2 linked regions of the Drosophila melanogaster genome follow. The protein of the gene in region 2 purifies or fractionates together with the protein of the main gene of each other region. This does not show direct contact. Each region holds a gene or a part of one and is shown on either strand. Other genes may lie near its edges.

What was found.
Region 1: the proteins of Rilpl (region 2) and Iris purify together in Drosophila melanogaster (affinity purification with mass spectrometry, with the first as the bait; one large-scale study listed by BioGRID). This does not show direct contact.

What each region holds. Positions count from the first base shown.
Region 1 is NT_033779.5:1,130,295-1,136,318, forward strand, and holds Iris (iris), read right to left. Parts: upstream 3,805-6,024; 5' UTR 3,780-3,804; coding exon 2,184-3,779; 3' UTR 2,038-2,183; downstream 1-2,037. Other genes in the region: TBC1D23 (TBC1 domain family member 23), read left to right, coding at 1-887, 970-1,659; CG4577 (uncharacterized protein), read left to right, coding at 4,565-4,787.
Region 2 is NC_004354.4:1,390,287-1,398,943, reverse strand, and holds Rilpl (Rab interacting lysosomal protein like), read right to left. Parts: upstream 5,891-8,657; 5' UTR 5,401-5,890; coding exon 4,786-5,400; intron 4,721-4,785; coding exon 4,230-4,720; intron 3,862-4,229; coding exon of another isoform or gene 3,847-3,861; coding exon 3,751-3,846; intron 3,699-3,750; coding exon 3,573-3,698; coding exon of another isoform or gene 3,569-3,572; exon of another isoform or gene 3,392-3,568; coding exon 3,259-3,391; 3' UTR 1,607-3,258; downstream 1-1,606. Other genes in the region: CG32813 (uncharacterized protein), read right to left, coding at 7,379-8,657. UniProt on the Drosophila melanogaster protein: May have a role in lysosome distribution by interacting with Arl8.

The sequences.
Region 1 (6,024 bases), on a different chromosome or scaffold from region 2:
ACGATCCGGAGCTGTGCACGCTGCTGGACACCAAGAAGATCACGCCCGACTTGTACTCGCTGACCTGGTTCCAGTCGCTTTTCGCCTCCTGCAGCAGCCTGTCAGTGATCATTGCCATGTGGGACCTGTACTTTCAGAACGCCGATCCCTTCATGGTCTTCTTCCTGGCGCTAATAATCTTGATCAACGGCAGGGAGCAGATCCTGCAGATGAGGAGCTCGTCCAAGGAGGAGATCATCAAGTTCCTGAGCCTTATGCCGTGCGCCCTGGAGTTCGACGACGTCCCCGACTTTTGCTCCCTGGCCCAGTACTACGCGCTCAAGACACCAACTTCCTTCAAGACGGACTATCTGAAGGCGCTGTACGGCAAGCAGAATGATACACCGCGCAGCCAGGAGGAGGCAAACAAGGTATCACAGGCCCTGTGCCTGCCCGTCTCCGTTTACGAGCTGGTAGAGAACTCGGCCACAGAGTTTCCTGTGCCGGATGCAGTGCGTTTCTTTCTCGTTGACTGCCGCCCGGCCGAGCAATACAACGCCGGCCACCTGTCCACGGCATTCCATCTGGACTGCAACCTCATGCTCCAGGAACCTGTCGCCTTTGCCACCGCCGTCCAGGGCCTCCTGACCGCCCAGCGGCAGGCCATCGAGGCCAACTCGAACGCCGGCGGCGAGCATCTGTGCTTCATGGGCAGCGGTCGCGTCGAAGAGGACCAGTACACACACATGGTGGTGGCCTCGTTCCTGCAGAAGAACACCCACTACGTGTCGCTGCTGACCGGTGGCTACGCCTCCATCCACGACTACTTCGGCGATCAAATGGCCGATTGCCTGGAGGATCACAATGCGCGCAAGTGCCTCGTCTGCCAGCAGCACAACGCGCAGCAGGTAAGACTTCGATAACTCAGGAAATGTACAATACTTTGAATCGAATTAGTATACTTATAATTTCTCAATTCCGCTCCTGCAGACTAAATCAGCGCCGCTTAAGACTTCGACGCCATCCTCTACAGACCTATTCAGCAAGTTCTCCGCCGCCATGAAGTCAAAGTCTGCCGAGGTCAAGGGCAAACTACTAGACATTATCGTGAATCCCAGTGCAAATGGCGGAGCCACGGCTAGCGGCACCAATGGTGTGCCATCGGCGCCGGTGCAAGAGCGCCATGTTAGTGCAAAGGAGCGGAACGGCAAGCGCTACCGCAATGTGGCACCTGTGTTCAGCATCGACGATGAGAACGAGGATGCCTTGGACGGGGCGGGGGAGCGGGATGACGCACCGCTGACCAGCGACGGCAAGGAGATCGTGAATCTGAACCAGTACTTCAAGACGGCGGACATCATCAACGCCTTCAAGTGCCAGGAGGTGCACATGAGCGGCTACATGTACGACAGTCATTTGATCATCACGCCCGGGCAACTGGTGGTGCTGCGGGAACTGGGACGCGGCCAGGCGCAGATAATGGTGCGTCGCCCGCTGGCGAGCATCGTGAAGATCACGGCCAAGAAGCGACACCGCGACCTCATCACGTTCAAGTACGGATTCCCCGATGGCGATGGTCTGCTCATAACCGACATGGACCGCTTCCTCATACCAAATGCGGCCGAAGTTACGGCACTGATTTCAAGGCTCATCGTGCAGGTGCTTGACGACGCCAAGTAGGATAAACCGGACAACCGCCGCATGCTCTTCTTGTTTCCGCCTTTCCGCATCAAGCTTTATTTCATGAACGGCCACTGATACAAAAATCAGAGACACAAAGTGCAATGCGCCGCTGCGAGCGGTGTAATAGTTTGTAATTGGCATTGTTTTCCTTGTATTAGCTGAAATAGTATAGTTCTTATTGTAAACGAAGCGCTGGCTGCAATTGTAACATAGTGCACTCGGTGCAGAGACCGGATTTGAAGAAAATAGTCGAACGTAGTCCCAGATCACATGGCCATCCCGAGCATGCCACGCCCCCGATCCCAATTTTCTAAATTTCTAAGTGCGAATAAGGAACCCTTACCGAAGCCCTGAGACTTACAACGTGTACATGATGAGAGTAACTAATATTTATTGCAATCAAACCAAACAAATAAAACTGTATTATAATCGACACAAAAAATTGTTAAAAAATCATAGCTCTCTTTGAAATTTCATCGGAACTTAACAGATGCACCACGCAGCCGCATCTTCTTTTTTTTTTAGATTTCATGTTTTTCCAGCAGCGGAAGATTGCAGGTTGTGGTGCGATTCTGTGGATCCTGGAGACCATTGACTTCGTTGACAAGATTTTGAGCCTGCGCAAGTTGTTTGCTCCGATGGGTGCGATATAACCAGGTCGCCGAAACAAGTAAGGCGACCAGCAATATGGCTGCGCACACAGCTACTACTACTACGACTACCATTGGGTAATCTCGGACTGCTTCCAGCTTTTTCTGATTCAGCTCCAGTTTGCCCACGATCGCCAGGAGTTGATTAAATGATTCCAAGGTCACGGATTCCTGGGAAGATTTTGGTTCCTTCTGCAGCGTTGCGTAACCTGCTTTCGAAGGAACTCTTTCCCGGACTTCTCCACGGAGGGCGACAGCTGGACTGCGCACGGCACAGTCGCTTTGAATGCTCAGGATTCCACTGCCATTCAATTGGAGCTCCTGCCTCTCACCGGAGCACACTCCTATTAAAGTTAGCTCATTGGTAAGGGCCACCATCCAGGAGTTTGGTGCCACCATCTCTGTCCACAGACTCTTCTCCTTCACTTGACGCAAGGTGCAGACTTCGGAAGACTGGTTCCGTATGGCCGCCAGGGAGCAGGCAAAACTGTCATCCCCAGTCCCGTAGATAATGCGGTTGCGCCTGCAGATGAACCTTTCTTCGCCCAACTTGATGCAGTCGTCCAAGCTCTGAAGCGGAAAATACCTGTCCATATGATCGTTGATGCCCAGATAAGGTGTTTCGGTGTCCACCAGTTGGATTACGCCATTGTTTAACCGTGGAATGGGCGTCAATCGGTAGATATTAAACTTCTCCGCATCGAGCAAGGGCACTGTGATTTGGAACTCCACGTGGTTGCCCCGCTGCCGAGGAACTACGGAGGCGAGAAGGTAAATATTCCGGATTGTATATCGGCCATCCAGATCTCCCAGAATTGGCGGCATCTTCGCTTGCAGCTGTTTCATTGAAAGGACAAGAGGACTAAGCTTTCCGTGGTGGGCAGAGATTATGGCTTCAGTTATGGCATTCTGGGCACTTTTTAGTCTGCTGCCCATAAGGTATAGATACGGCTTCATCATAATCAGGTTTTCAGGTTCATAAGCCTCGTGAAAGGGTTCTTGAAGTATCACATTTATAACATTAATGGAGCTGTCAATGCAGGATGTTCCCATCCCAAGCTCGATGGACACGTCGTCATCTCCCAAAGAAAGTCGTCCGGCCCTAAAGTCCAACGCTTTCTCCAAGTCAATTAGTCCATCGTGAAGAATACTATCCGCAAACTTGGTAATGTCCAGAATTTCTGGACAAAGATTCCTTTGGATATCGCACACATCGACCAAAGCCTTGTAGACACCATTGAACGCACGTATTGCCGTATAAAGCGACTCCAAGTTGAAGCTGGCACATAACTTCCAATCTCTGGAGGCTAGCGATGCCTGACCGCTGTACTCCACGAAGGTGCCCAGACTGTTGTTGAATCCCCGCATCGCCATCGGACCTCCGATCGCCTCCCGATCAACTGGGCTTCCATGGGAGAGCGCTATCAGCGAGGGGGCGAGGATGAATACCAAACTAATCGCTTTCATCTTTCGCTTGTAGAGGTGATCGTTGCCCAGAGTTCCGCGCTAAACTGAAGGTGAGCTCCTGAGAATCGGGTAGCAAGCGGTAGTGCATGTCCATATGTATGTTCAATTGCTGATATAGCAAAATGATCGGATCATTGTGCGCAATATAAATTTTTAAATATTTGCAAGTGAGGCAATTAGCCAGAATTAGCTTTCAAATAAATATAATATAAATATATAATATACAAATATAACATAAGCCATCCATATTTATTATACATTTTACACTAGTCAAGTGCATTGAGTACTAATATAGTGAATTTACATAACAACCAGTGTCATAGCGGCATAACCAGCACCACAGAGGCCCACCGATGCGACCTGGCAGTAACGCAGCTCTTTGCAGATCCGGCGCCGGCGCAGTAGAGGATTGGCTCGCTGCCTCGCCAGGCAAGTACGTAAGCAGGCTCCTCCGAGCTCCGCGGTCTTTATCAATGAGAGTGACGTAGGTTGTGTGCAGACCGGACGGGATTCGGTCGGCGAGTGGAGGAGTTGGGTGGCACTTTAATGTGGTCTGCAAGCCAACGGCCAACGGCACGGAATCGGGGCAATACGTTAAAAACTGTTGCACTGCGTCGCTGGGACGTCAGTTCATTCAGAACAGTCGAAGTGCGCAGACCACTGGGATCCAAACACCGGCAGAAACCAGGCCAGGAGTCGAAGTCGACCTCCCACCTCCAGCCAGATCCGAATCCTATTTGGGACACCACCAGCTAGAGCCAAGTCAAGTGCCGTTTGCCGTAAACATGCCACGCATCTCGTTGCCCGGCAGCAGCCTGCTGGTAGTCCTGGCACTGATCCTGTGCCTCAGCCTTCCAATCCGGGCGGTGCCCACCTCCGTGCTCGCCCAAGACACGGAGCTCTCCACCAGCGCCAACCACAAGCTCCAGCAGCAGCAGCAACAGCAGCAGCAGCATCACCAGCAGCAGCAGCTCCAGCAGCAGCAGCAGCAGCAACAGCCGGCCACAGGTAAGTGCCAAAGTTCAGTACAGGTGGAGCAGCAGCTCCGCCCACGCCCACTCTTAAGGCTAAAGGTCACTGGGAAAATGCGAGTTTTTGAAAAATGCCCGGCCCGAGAAGGCTGTGCCTCCAGCCTCCAGCTCGTCGTCTGCGTGGGTTGGCTGGCTGCTGGCTTTTGAGGGTCGGGCATCCGCTCGAGTGGCTCCATCTCGGAGCTCATCTCGTTTAGCATATTCCATTTCCCATTTACCGCTCGTCGTTCGCTGTTTCTGCCAGGAAATTGCGTAGGTGTTTTGCGCGAGGACGACAGCTGTCGTCCTTTTGAATGCCGCGCTCCATGAGCGATTTATAAATTTCCATCCTGCGGTTGTTTTTCTTGCACTGGCTTAGTGAATCATTACTGTGCCTGCACAGCGAGAAAACTACCAATGACTTTTCTGAGTAAGTGGGTAGCTATATGCACTCTTGAAAGAAAACTATCAAATAAAATAAGTTTTAAGTCTTTAAATTAAAGTTTCAACAAAAAAATGATTATATAAATTATATTAAATTATATACATATATATATAATAATCAAATTTCTGCCAAAATATTCACGAAACATATATACATATATCAAGCTGCGGCTTAAAGCACAATGTTGCCTTTTCTTTCAACAACTCTAAAGAAACATATGGTATTCTGTATATACAGCTCCACGATTTCTCCCAGTGCAGTTACACTGTTCATATATGTAGCTCAGCGCTCACCAACACAAGCACACGGGAACCTACAGCGCAGTTAAACATCGCGTAGGCGTTCGCCACACAAAATGGCGGCCAGCCTCCTTTGTGAGTGTGTGTGAGTACGTGTGTGCGTGTATGTGAGTGGGGGGGCCTCCATGCTGTTAAAGTGTGCGTACGTGCGCGCGATTTCATTTCTATTTTTAGAAAGCGAGTTAGGCGAAAGTTTTCAGCCCCTTTTGCGCCCCTTCCGCTCCTCCTGCACTTTCTGCTCGCCTGGCGCCGTTCGCCTAGCATCGCCTTACGCCATCGCCATCGCCATTCACCACATCTTGGGTGGCAAGTGCCACCCATTGCCGCCCCCACTTTCACCGCAGCATTGAGCCCTTAAGTAGGCAGCCAAGCTCAAGCTGTTAAGCCTTTCCGATCCATTCCGAGTATAAATACGCGTCCGTGTGTGCAACACGTTCGTTAGCGCTCCAAACCGCAGCAGCAACTAAGGCCAAAAGTAGCGGGGCTTTGGT
Region 2 (8,657 bases):
TATTTCCAGCGCTCTCATTTCGATGCAGTTAGCCGGTTAGGTGCATGCAATATACATACATATATATACACATGTATCATTGGGTAATCGAGACAAATAAGCATGTAGGACTGGTTGCACTCCGTCAGGTTCACTGCGTCGAATGAGTCCTGTGTCCCAGCCTAAAGCACAACTTGCGCAGTTGTCCATCTCCAGAATTCACTGTACTGGCTCTGTGGAAGTGCGGGAGTTTCGAGTGGGGCTGCCCCTTGCATCCAAATCCAAATCCAACGGAGCTTCTGCGGCGGCTGCTGCGAGCCTGTTCAAAAATCGACTGACTAAGGCCCCTGAAATCGTCGCACGGGGCCTCTGCAGAAACTCATTAAGCGCTTTTATCTCCGCTCCGTCTCTTAATTCTTTTCTTTCTGGCCAGCCCATGCCAGGCCAGGGCAATTAGTGGAAATTGTGGGGCCCACTCCCAGTGACCACAAAAACACAGGGGCCTTCTTCATTAGCTGCGCACATTTCGACCTACGATTTTCGCAGCGCATATCCTTCTATCCTATTACGCTAACATCTTCTTAATTAAAAAGCTGACAACGCCGTCTCCGGCCACCATGAACCCGCCCACGTCTCGCCGCCAAGTCCGGTGGCAGATTTTTAATTGCTTAATTGGAACTGCGTGAAAATCCCGTTGAGAATGGCCAGAACGCATCCCCGAACGAAGAGCCGCCACCACATCACCACCACCACCAACAAATCGCCTGTTGCTGGGCAATTAAAACGCCATCGCAGATGAGGGGCGGTGCTCAAGGTCGTCCAGCCGGAACAACCACCACGCCCTAGATACGCCTCAAACCCGGCATGGAGATCAGGCGCCCAGTAAACGGCAGAAGCGACCCAGCAAGGACTCGAGGACGGGGCACGAGATGCTGCTACGCACCGCACGAGATGCAGGATGCGGACGCGGATGCGCAGGGTTGACGATGCTGCAAGATGGCTTCGTGGCTTGGTAAGTGGGTGGCCCAGAGCCCCGGGGTAAAGCTCAGTCGAAAAGCTCGTGGCGAGAAAGCTCCAACCACCGCGATGGGTGGTCGGGCGCGGGGGAATCCCATGGGATGCACTGCCAGGTGTTACGCAATCAGCCTTGTTCGACATCCACCCCCTTTTCTTAGTACCAAAAGCACGATCGAAATACAACCCCACCGACTGTCCTTGTGCAAAGGATATCAGTAGCTAGAGGCTACAGGCTCGGGCGACATGGAAGCCAGAACTCCAATGACTAGAGCACCCCGAAATGTGTTTATGGGCAAATTGAAGTCGCTACTAACCTTTAAGGCTTGATATGAAATGTTATGATACGTGAAAATACTTGAACTTGAAGATGGTCTTCAAACATCCTTCGTTTCTGACGATGAAACACACGATGATGACAATGATCTTGAACTCTCTGCCGATCTCGACTTGTTTCTTACAATACCTTGGGAATAATTTTGAAAGCAATCGAAAATAAGCCAAATTAAAAACGAACTTATAAGTAATGTTAAATAATGAAATAAACACCTTAGGTTCCGCACAGCGAGTGCTCCACTTGCCGCCAACCCAAATCATTCATTCGAAATCCACTCCACGGTTCATAAGTTTATTTTGGTGGTCGCTCAAAGGAAGCCACTCATAAATTTGATGTACGTACAGGGGTGAGCAGATGATACCCGGATGCGGAGGCGTCGCCCTCTGATGCGGTTCACCATGATGCGATCCAATCCGATCCGATCCGATGCTCGCTATCGCTCTGGTCGCTCCTGCAGTCCATGGTCCAAGTGCCACCCTGGTACGCTTTGAATTTTGTATAATTGTTGCCTTGTTGCCTTTTTGGTTAGTCATAGTTCCATATAATACGGTATTACATAGTATATAGTAAAGTATATTATGTATAATGCATGTGTATATGTGTATATAAATTTAGTTAACATTAATTCACCAAATACTCAATTTCTCTCCATCTTCTTTTCGTGGTCTTCACCCACTCAACGTTAGTCCACTTTTTCATATCGATGCCATTGCGCGCTCGTGTTCAATTTTATAAAAGTTCAGTTGCCACTCTTTGTTGTGTTCGAAACGAGATGGGTTAATTGAGATTGGTAAGTCGGGTGTTGTGGGCTGGGTGTTCGGTGCGTGGTGTGGGTAGTGGGGGGGAGTTGCGAATAATGGGGGCATAGGGTCTGACCATTAGTCTTTGGCACGTTCGCATCGACGATAGCGATGGAGCTGATATGTAAACGGAGTTTCCTCGCTTTGTGCTTGTGAGTGGAAGGGGAGCGGGAAGTGACACCATATTGGTAATTGCACTACATGGGCGTCTCTCTCATGGATACTAGCTATGAACGAGGATCGGACTGAGATCTCCTCGAAATCACTGGGCTTCAAGTGGAGTGGGGGCTCTGGGCGAAGTCGTCTGGGTGCGGTAACAACAATTCGAGCTGGTCAGTGGCTAAGTCTATGGTAAAACTCTTGGCTAAAACATTCCTTGATTTAGACTGGCCGGCCGGCAATGGGGTAACGCGGAGATTTTCGCTTTTTGGCATCTTTGTGCAATCGAATGCTATCAATGGAATCTACTATGCTGAGATTGGTTTCGTTAGTTAGTTCAATTCAAGTCAACAAACAATGCGCTAAGGTTGTAACGTTTGCTAATTATATATCAATTATATATACTTTTAGGTTTCTTTCGCTCTAAGGTTTGCGTATTTTGATAAATTTGTAATATATTTATAAGGCCGCTTGGGGCAACTGCTATGAGAGTGCTAAAATACTCATACGGGCTGGCGATAGCCGAAGATCTAGATAGATGCAGGGGTCTTAGGGACAGTTACACTACGGATAATTGAAGCAAAATCTTCCCGTTCTACCTAGACTTTCTAAAATCTGGGGTCCCAGAACCAGAGTCCTCCTCGTCTCGTCTCCTCATCTCACCGAATCGTTTTCTCTGCATCTGCACCTGGGAGGACTGTTTGTCTTTCTAAGCTTGTTTTTGTCTAAATTCATTAAAAACTCACTCGGCAATCTTTGCACAATCTCGATATCGTTTTCGTTCTCGTTTTCGTTCTCGATCTTGATTTTTGAAACACGTGCACATGTGGGGGCTGTGGTATGTTTGGAGTCTTATGTGGTAGTCGTTAATCAAGTTAGAATAAATCGAAGGTACGAAAAATACAAAGTGGATTCGTATTAAATATATCCAGTACAGTTAGGGGTTACGAGTTACGAATAAAACGCGTATTACGTAAACAAAATTGCATAACAACTTAGAATTATGAGGGCACAGCAATCGAGTGTGTAAACTATGTATGTACAGCTCAGGCGGAGCAGGTGAATGGCGAGGGACAGGGTCAGATACAGGCTGTTGCCTAAACTAAATGTAAACGTAATCGTAAGACGTAAAAGTAAAAAATAAATAATAAATTAGGATGCAAGATGCAGGGGTGCGGGGGGCAGTGCAAACGGAACGGAACGGAATGGAACGGAAACGGAAAAACAGAAAACAAACGAAAAGTGAAATGCACGCCAACTCGGATGCTTTAAGGGGCGCTTACTTCGCCGCTGCGGAGGCGGAAACGGAACCGGGCGTGGCCGACAGCGCCATCTTGGAGAGCGTGGCCAAGGAACGTTTCGGGAACGTGTTGCTGCCGTCCGACGGGTCCGAGAACAGCTTCCGGAAGCTACAATGCAGAAAGTGAATCGAGAGCTCTACGCCGATTGAATGCCACTTACAATTTGCGTATTCCCGACTCGGAGCTCTTCTTCCAGGGCGCATCGTCCGGCTCGTAGGGCAAAGGGCCCTGCACGGGCGCATCGTGTCCAGGTGGCCTGAAAAGCGATGCACTATGTATGTACTTAAGTAATCATAACTAGGGATAGTAATTAGCTATAAAAACTCAAAAATAATCAACATATAGATCCGAATCCAACGATTTGTTTGACTCCCAATTGTGCCATTTACCAGTTACCTGCTGACCTTGCGAAAAAACACGCAAATATATACGTTTAAGCTCTGAATCACCTGCCAATTAAACGTTTGCATCATAGGGTCTATTTGAATATTGTTAGCACTGAGCAACAACAAAAGAATGACTCAGGCTGAAAATGCTTGTTCGTTAATCACTTTGACTCAAGCGGTCGTTCATAAATTCTTGTTTTCTCTGGTGAGGGACCACAAAACTAAAGGATGTAACAGAAATGGGCTCACTCACGTTTCTCCGGCCGCTGGTGGCTCCAGCTCGTTCGCCTCGGCAGCCGCCTCCTCCTCGTCGTCGTCATCATCGTTGTCCGCCACGTGACCATCGTCGTCCTCATCGCTATCGTCGGAGCTGGAGAAGTGACGCTGCCGCTTGCCCTTCGCCTGGCTTGGTGGCTTCAGCTCCGCCAGCTGCTCGTTGAGGGTGTCGATGGTGGTCAGCAGCTCATCGCGCTCGCTAATCAACTCTTTCAGCTCGCGCGTGGTGTACCGCGGCCGGTTGGGATCGTTCTGGCCATCGTCGTACGAGGCCACCAAATCCTCATTCTCCTTTTCGGCCAGGCCCAATCGCTTGCGCAGTTGGTTGATCTCCCGGCTCTGGTCCTGCAGCTGGGCAAGAAAGTCGGCGCGCTCCTCGCACAGCGTCTTCACTTGGGCCTGCATCAGCTTGTGGCGGCGCCGGGTATCTCGCTCTGATGCCTTCAGACGCTCCGCCTGGATATTGAGCTGGGAAGGGTTAGTTAAGAATACGTTAGCTGGGAATATGAGCACCTATCCTTAAGGACACTCACGTGCTCCAGCTCGCTGTACTTGTCCTGCAGCTCACGCTCGCGGTGCTTCAACTCGTCGCGCTGCTTGTATATCTGCTCCTTCAGCCGTTGCAGCACTTGAGTATCCGAAAGAGCGCTGTGCAGCTCGTGGTTGGTCATGCTGATAATGCTCTCGGTGAGACTGGCCCCCAGGCCGGAGCTCTGGGCGGACGATGACTGCAGATCCTGAGTCTGCTTTACCAGCCGCTTGTTCTCGTCTTGCAGCGAGGAGACGAGATCGACCAGCTCGTTGGTCTCGCTGCGCCACTGCTCTTCGATCAGCTCCAGCTCCTTGTCGAACCGCCGCCGGAACTCGGCCTTCTCCAGCTTCTCGCTCTCCAGCTGGGCCACCTTATCGCGCAGCTCCTGGATGGTGGCGTTCTCGCGCTCGTTCTTCGTGGCCAGCGCCTCCAACAGCTCCAGGGTGTTGATGATCTTGGGCATCAGCCCGCTGACGGCGTCCGTGCCGAAGCGGTCCATGATCCGCTCGTACTCCTTGCCAATGTCGGAGGCCAAGTCGTACACATCGACCACGCCGATGTCGTCGATGGCGTCCAGGACCATTTCACCCATCTCATTGAGGTGAAAGCCGGGCATCCAGGTGGTCGCTCAGATAATCTGTGACTCCTGCCAAGCGCTGTATCACTTGTTTACTTGCTCACACTTGCTCACTGGACTCTGTGTTCACTGAAGACCAGCTTCAGTTGTCGCCTCTTTCCACGGTGTCCTGCTCCTCGGAGTTGCTTCGGGAATCGCTGCACCAGCTGACAGGGATTTTTCTTTCGCTAGCAGGACAAGTGTGCGTGTGCGTGTACGTGCGCCAGGTGTTGGTTTTCCAAGTGCTTTAAGGGAGGGGGGGAATCCGCAATCCGAAGTACGGAATTCGCACTTCGCAATTCACAGTTGGCGCACACAGACTGCACAGTAGTGTGCGTGGGAGTGGCAGTGCTCACTTCATTCACTCTAGTTGTTACTGCCGCCGAGTCGCTTTTCGCTGCCGATTCCCACATAAACAATCCGACTTTCCGCAATTTATTTGCACAATTTTTGCTGAACCGAACTGGAACTGATGAGTAACGAATAACTGGTTCGCGGGCGCCCATATGTGCGAACCAGTTCCCAGATGAGCAGTCGGTTGCGCAGTCTGGTAGCGCTTTGTGCTGGCTGGTCAGTGTTGGGCAACGCCAATTCGTTTGGCGCCAAATGAAGAGCAGCTTAAGCGAGCAAAATGAGCGTAAGTGCCAAAATGTTAAGCCTTAAACGAAATTTTACTATCCAAAAGTCAACAGGCTGGGCCACAAAGTAAATTCATTGTTTTATTAATAAGTTCTTGTTTACAAAATTGTATAAATAGTTTTGTTTTCTTGGTTTTCAGTTTCGTTTGGTGTGTGCTTCCTTGTAAATTGTGGTTACTGGGTCTGGATAGGCAATTAATTGTATTTTACACGTACAGTAGCACTAACACTAACTAAATGGTTTGTGTGCCACATTTACACAGTTATGCAGCGGCGACTAGCAAGTTTCTTCTCTTTACACCATTTCAAATCATTGGTTTGGTTTCACTGGTTCATTAAGTACATAAATTAGCTACAGTTCCTTCAATGCTTTCCTCGGGGGAACAATCTAAGCGATATAAAAAAATAATACACAAGTTCTCGGCTAGGCGTAACAATTTCGATTTCTTTTCTGTAGCTCTTTCGTTCTTCACTTTTGACTTTAGGGACTAGATTAGGAACCACATTTGTACATTTCATTTTCATGCGTTCTTAGCTGCTCGATCTCTAATTAAGTAAGTAAGTAAGGTCTAGTTTTGTAAAGTAAATGTACATTCAAGATAGTCACCTTCTTCTTCTTATTCTTTTTGGTAGCAGCTCGTAGGAAAACTTAAAAATAAACACGTTACATGTATAGAAAAAAAAAGGCAATAAAAAAATAGGCGACGCAAGACATTTTAAAATGAGATGAATCGCTATGTTTCAGTTAGGCTGGCAAATAAATAGTGGGTCGCGAGTGGTTATGACCGGTTATTTCAGCAGGTCCTTTGGCAAGCATTTTCGATGGCAAGGCCCCAATCTTGGTTTCTGTTTTGGCACTCAAACTGGGCGTAAATAAATATATATGGTAAAATTAATGTTACAAAGTGGTTGCGTCAATCCATGGTAGCAAGTATAAAATTAGCAAACTAGACAAAATACTAGCACCCCTCCTGGGGATCCTGATTCTGCTGCAGGGCCAGCTGCCTCAGGAGCTCGGAGGTGACTTCCTGGCGCTTCGAGCGCTTCGCTGGCGGCGGAGAGGAGTGGGGCGGTGTATCTGGCGACGACAGGCCGCCCACCACGCCAACATCCCTGACCAAGGCATCCTGTGAGTCATCTTCGTCTACATCGTCTTCCTCGTCTTCGTCGGGTAGCGTCAGGTCCGTTATGGCCTGGTCACGGTTCTCGCCATCGTCCTCCGACTGCTCGTCCTCCCTAGACCGCCCATCATCTATGTCCACTATCGAGATGATGTCGCTGTCGCTTTCGCTTTCGCCCGCAGGACCCCCGACTAGTTCGAACCGCCCCTTGGCTGCGGACTAGCTGGTGCTGGCCTGCGTCTGCAACACATTGGCGGAAGCGGACGATGAGGCACTAGCGGCGGTCACGGCGACGGGCGAGAGCACACTGGCTCCAGGGAAGTGGCACGGGCACGCAGGATTGGGCATGTGATTCGCCTGACTGTTCAGCTTGCGGGTGAGCGTCTGCCAGTATTCGATTTGGGCGTTGATCAGGTCGATTTTCCGCTTGCTCTCCTCGATCCTCAGCGAATTCATCAGCTCCTGGTGCTGGCTCCTCGTCCCACCGCTGCCACTTCCTCCGCTGCCCGACGTGTGTGCCCCGCCGATCCCCAGGCCCACGCCGCTGTTGTTGGCACTGCTCCCGCCGCTTCCGGCTCCGGATCCGCTGCTGTTCAAGGCGCTGCACACTGTGCCCGCCACTGCCAGTCCGTTGTACCCGTTGAAACTGCCCGCCGCCCCGATGGCCACGCCTCCTGTCTTGTCCCGCGCCAAATGGTTGTGCGTCATCTGTGCGTGGTGGCCGCCGTTGAGCAACAGTTGCACTCCATTGGAGGCCACCGCGGAATTGCTTGTGCTGCCGGCAGTGTGGTGGCTATTGTTGATGTTTCCGCGCTGAAGGCGTGGCAACTGCAGAGTGGGAGGGGTGCGGCGGCTGCTAATGGCGACCGATGAAGATGGAGCGGCGGACCCATAGGCGGCATTGATGGCCGCCTGCAGAGACTGAGCCGGATTCACGGCGGACAATCCTAGGCCGTTCAGCAGCGTGTGCTGCTGCACTTGCTCCGCTGTGAGCGGCAGCACTCCACTGGCACTGGAGCCGCCATTGCTGGCCGCTGATAGGACAGCTCCTGTGCCGGAGCCGCCGTTCTGCAGCGTCTTGTTGATGTTGGCAAAGCTGCCCACGCGTATGTGGCCCACGGTCTGGATAGTGATGTCCGGTTTGGGCGCTGATGCGTAGCTCCCGCTGGAACTAATCGAGGTCTTCGTGGAGCACACGGGCGAGCTTGCGGCGCGGCGACTGGTTTCGGTAATCCCGTTGCTAGACATGTTTCCGGGAAGGGAGCCTCCGGAGACACCACCGCCGGCGGCTCCGGACGATCCCACCTGCTGCAGCTGGCGCACGTCCGTTGGAAAGAGCACGTCGTCCTCCTCCTCGAGGCACACCTCCGGCGCCTTGTGGCTCAAGCAGTCGTCGTCATCGTCCTCGTCCAGGCAGTCCATGCCATTGTCCGTCTGCTCGTTGTCGCTAATTGTCTCCGACTTGATAAGGATCACGTCCGTGTCCATGCCCTCGTGG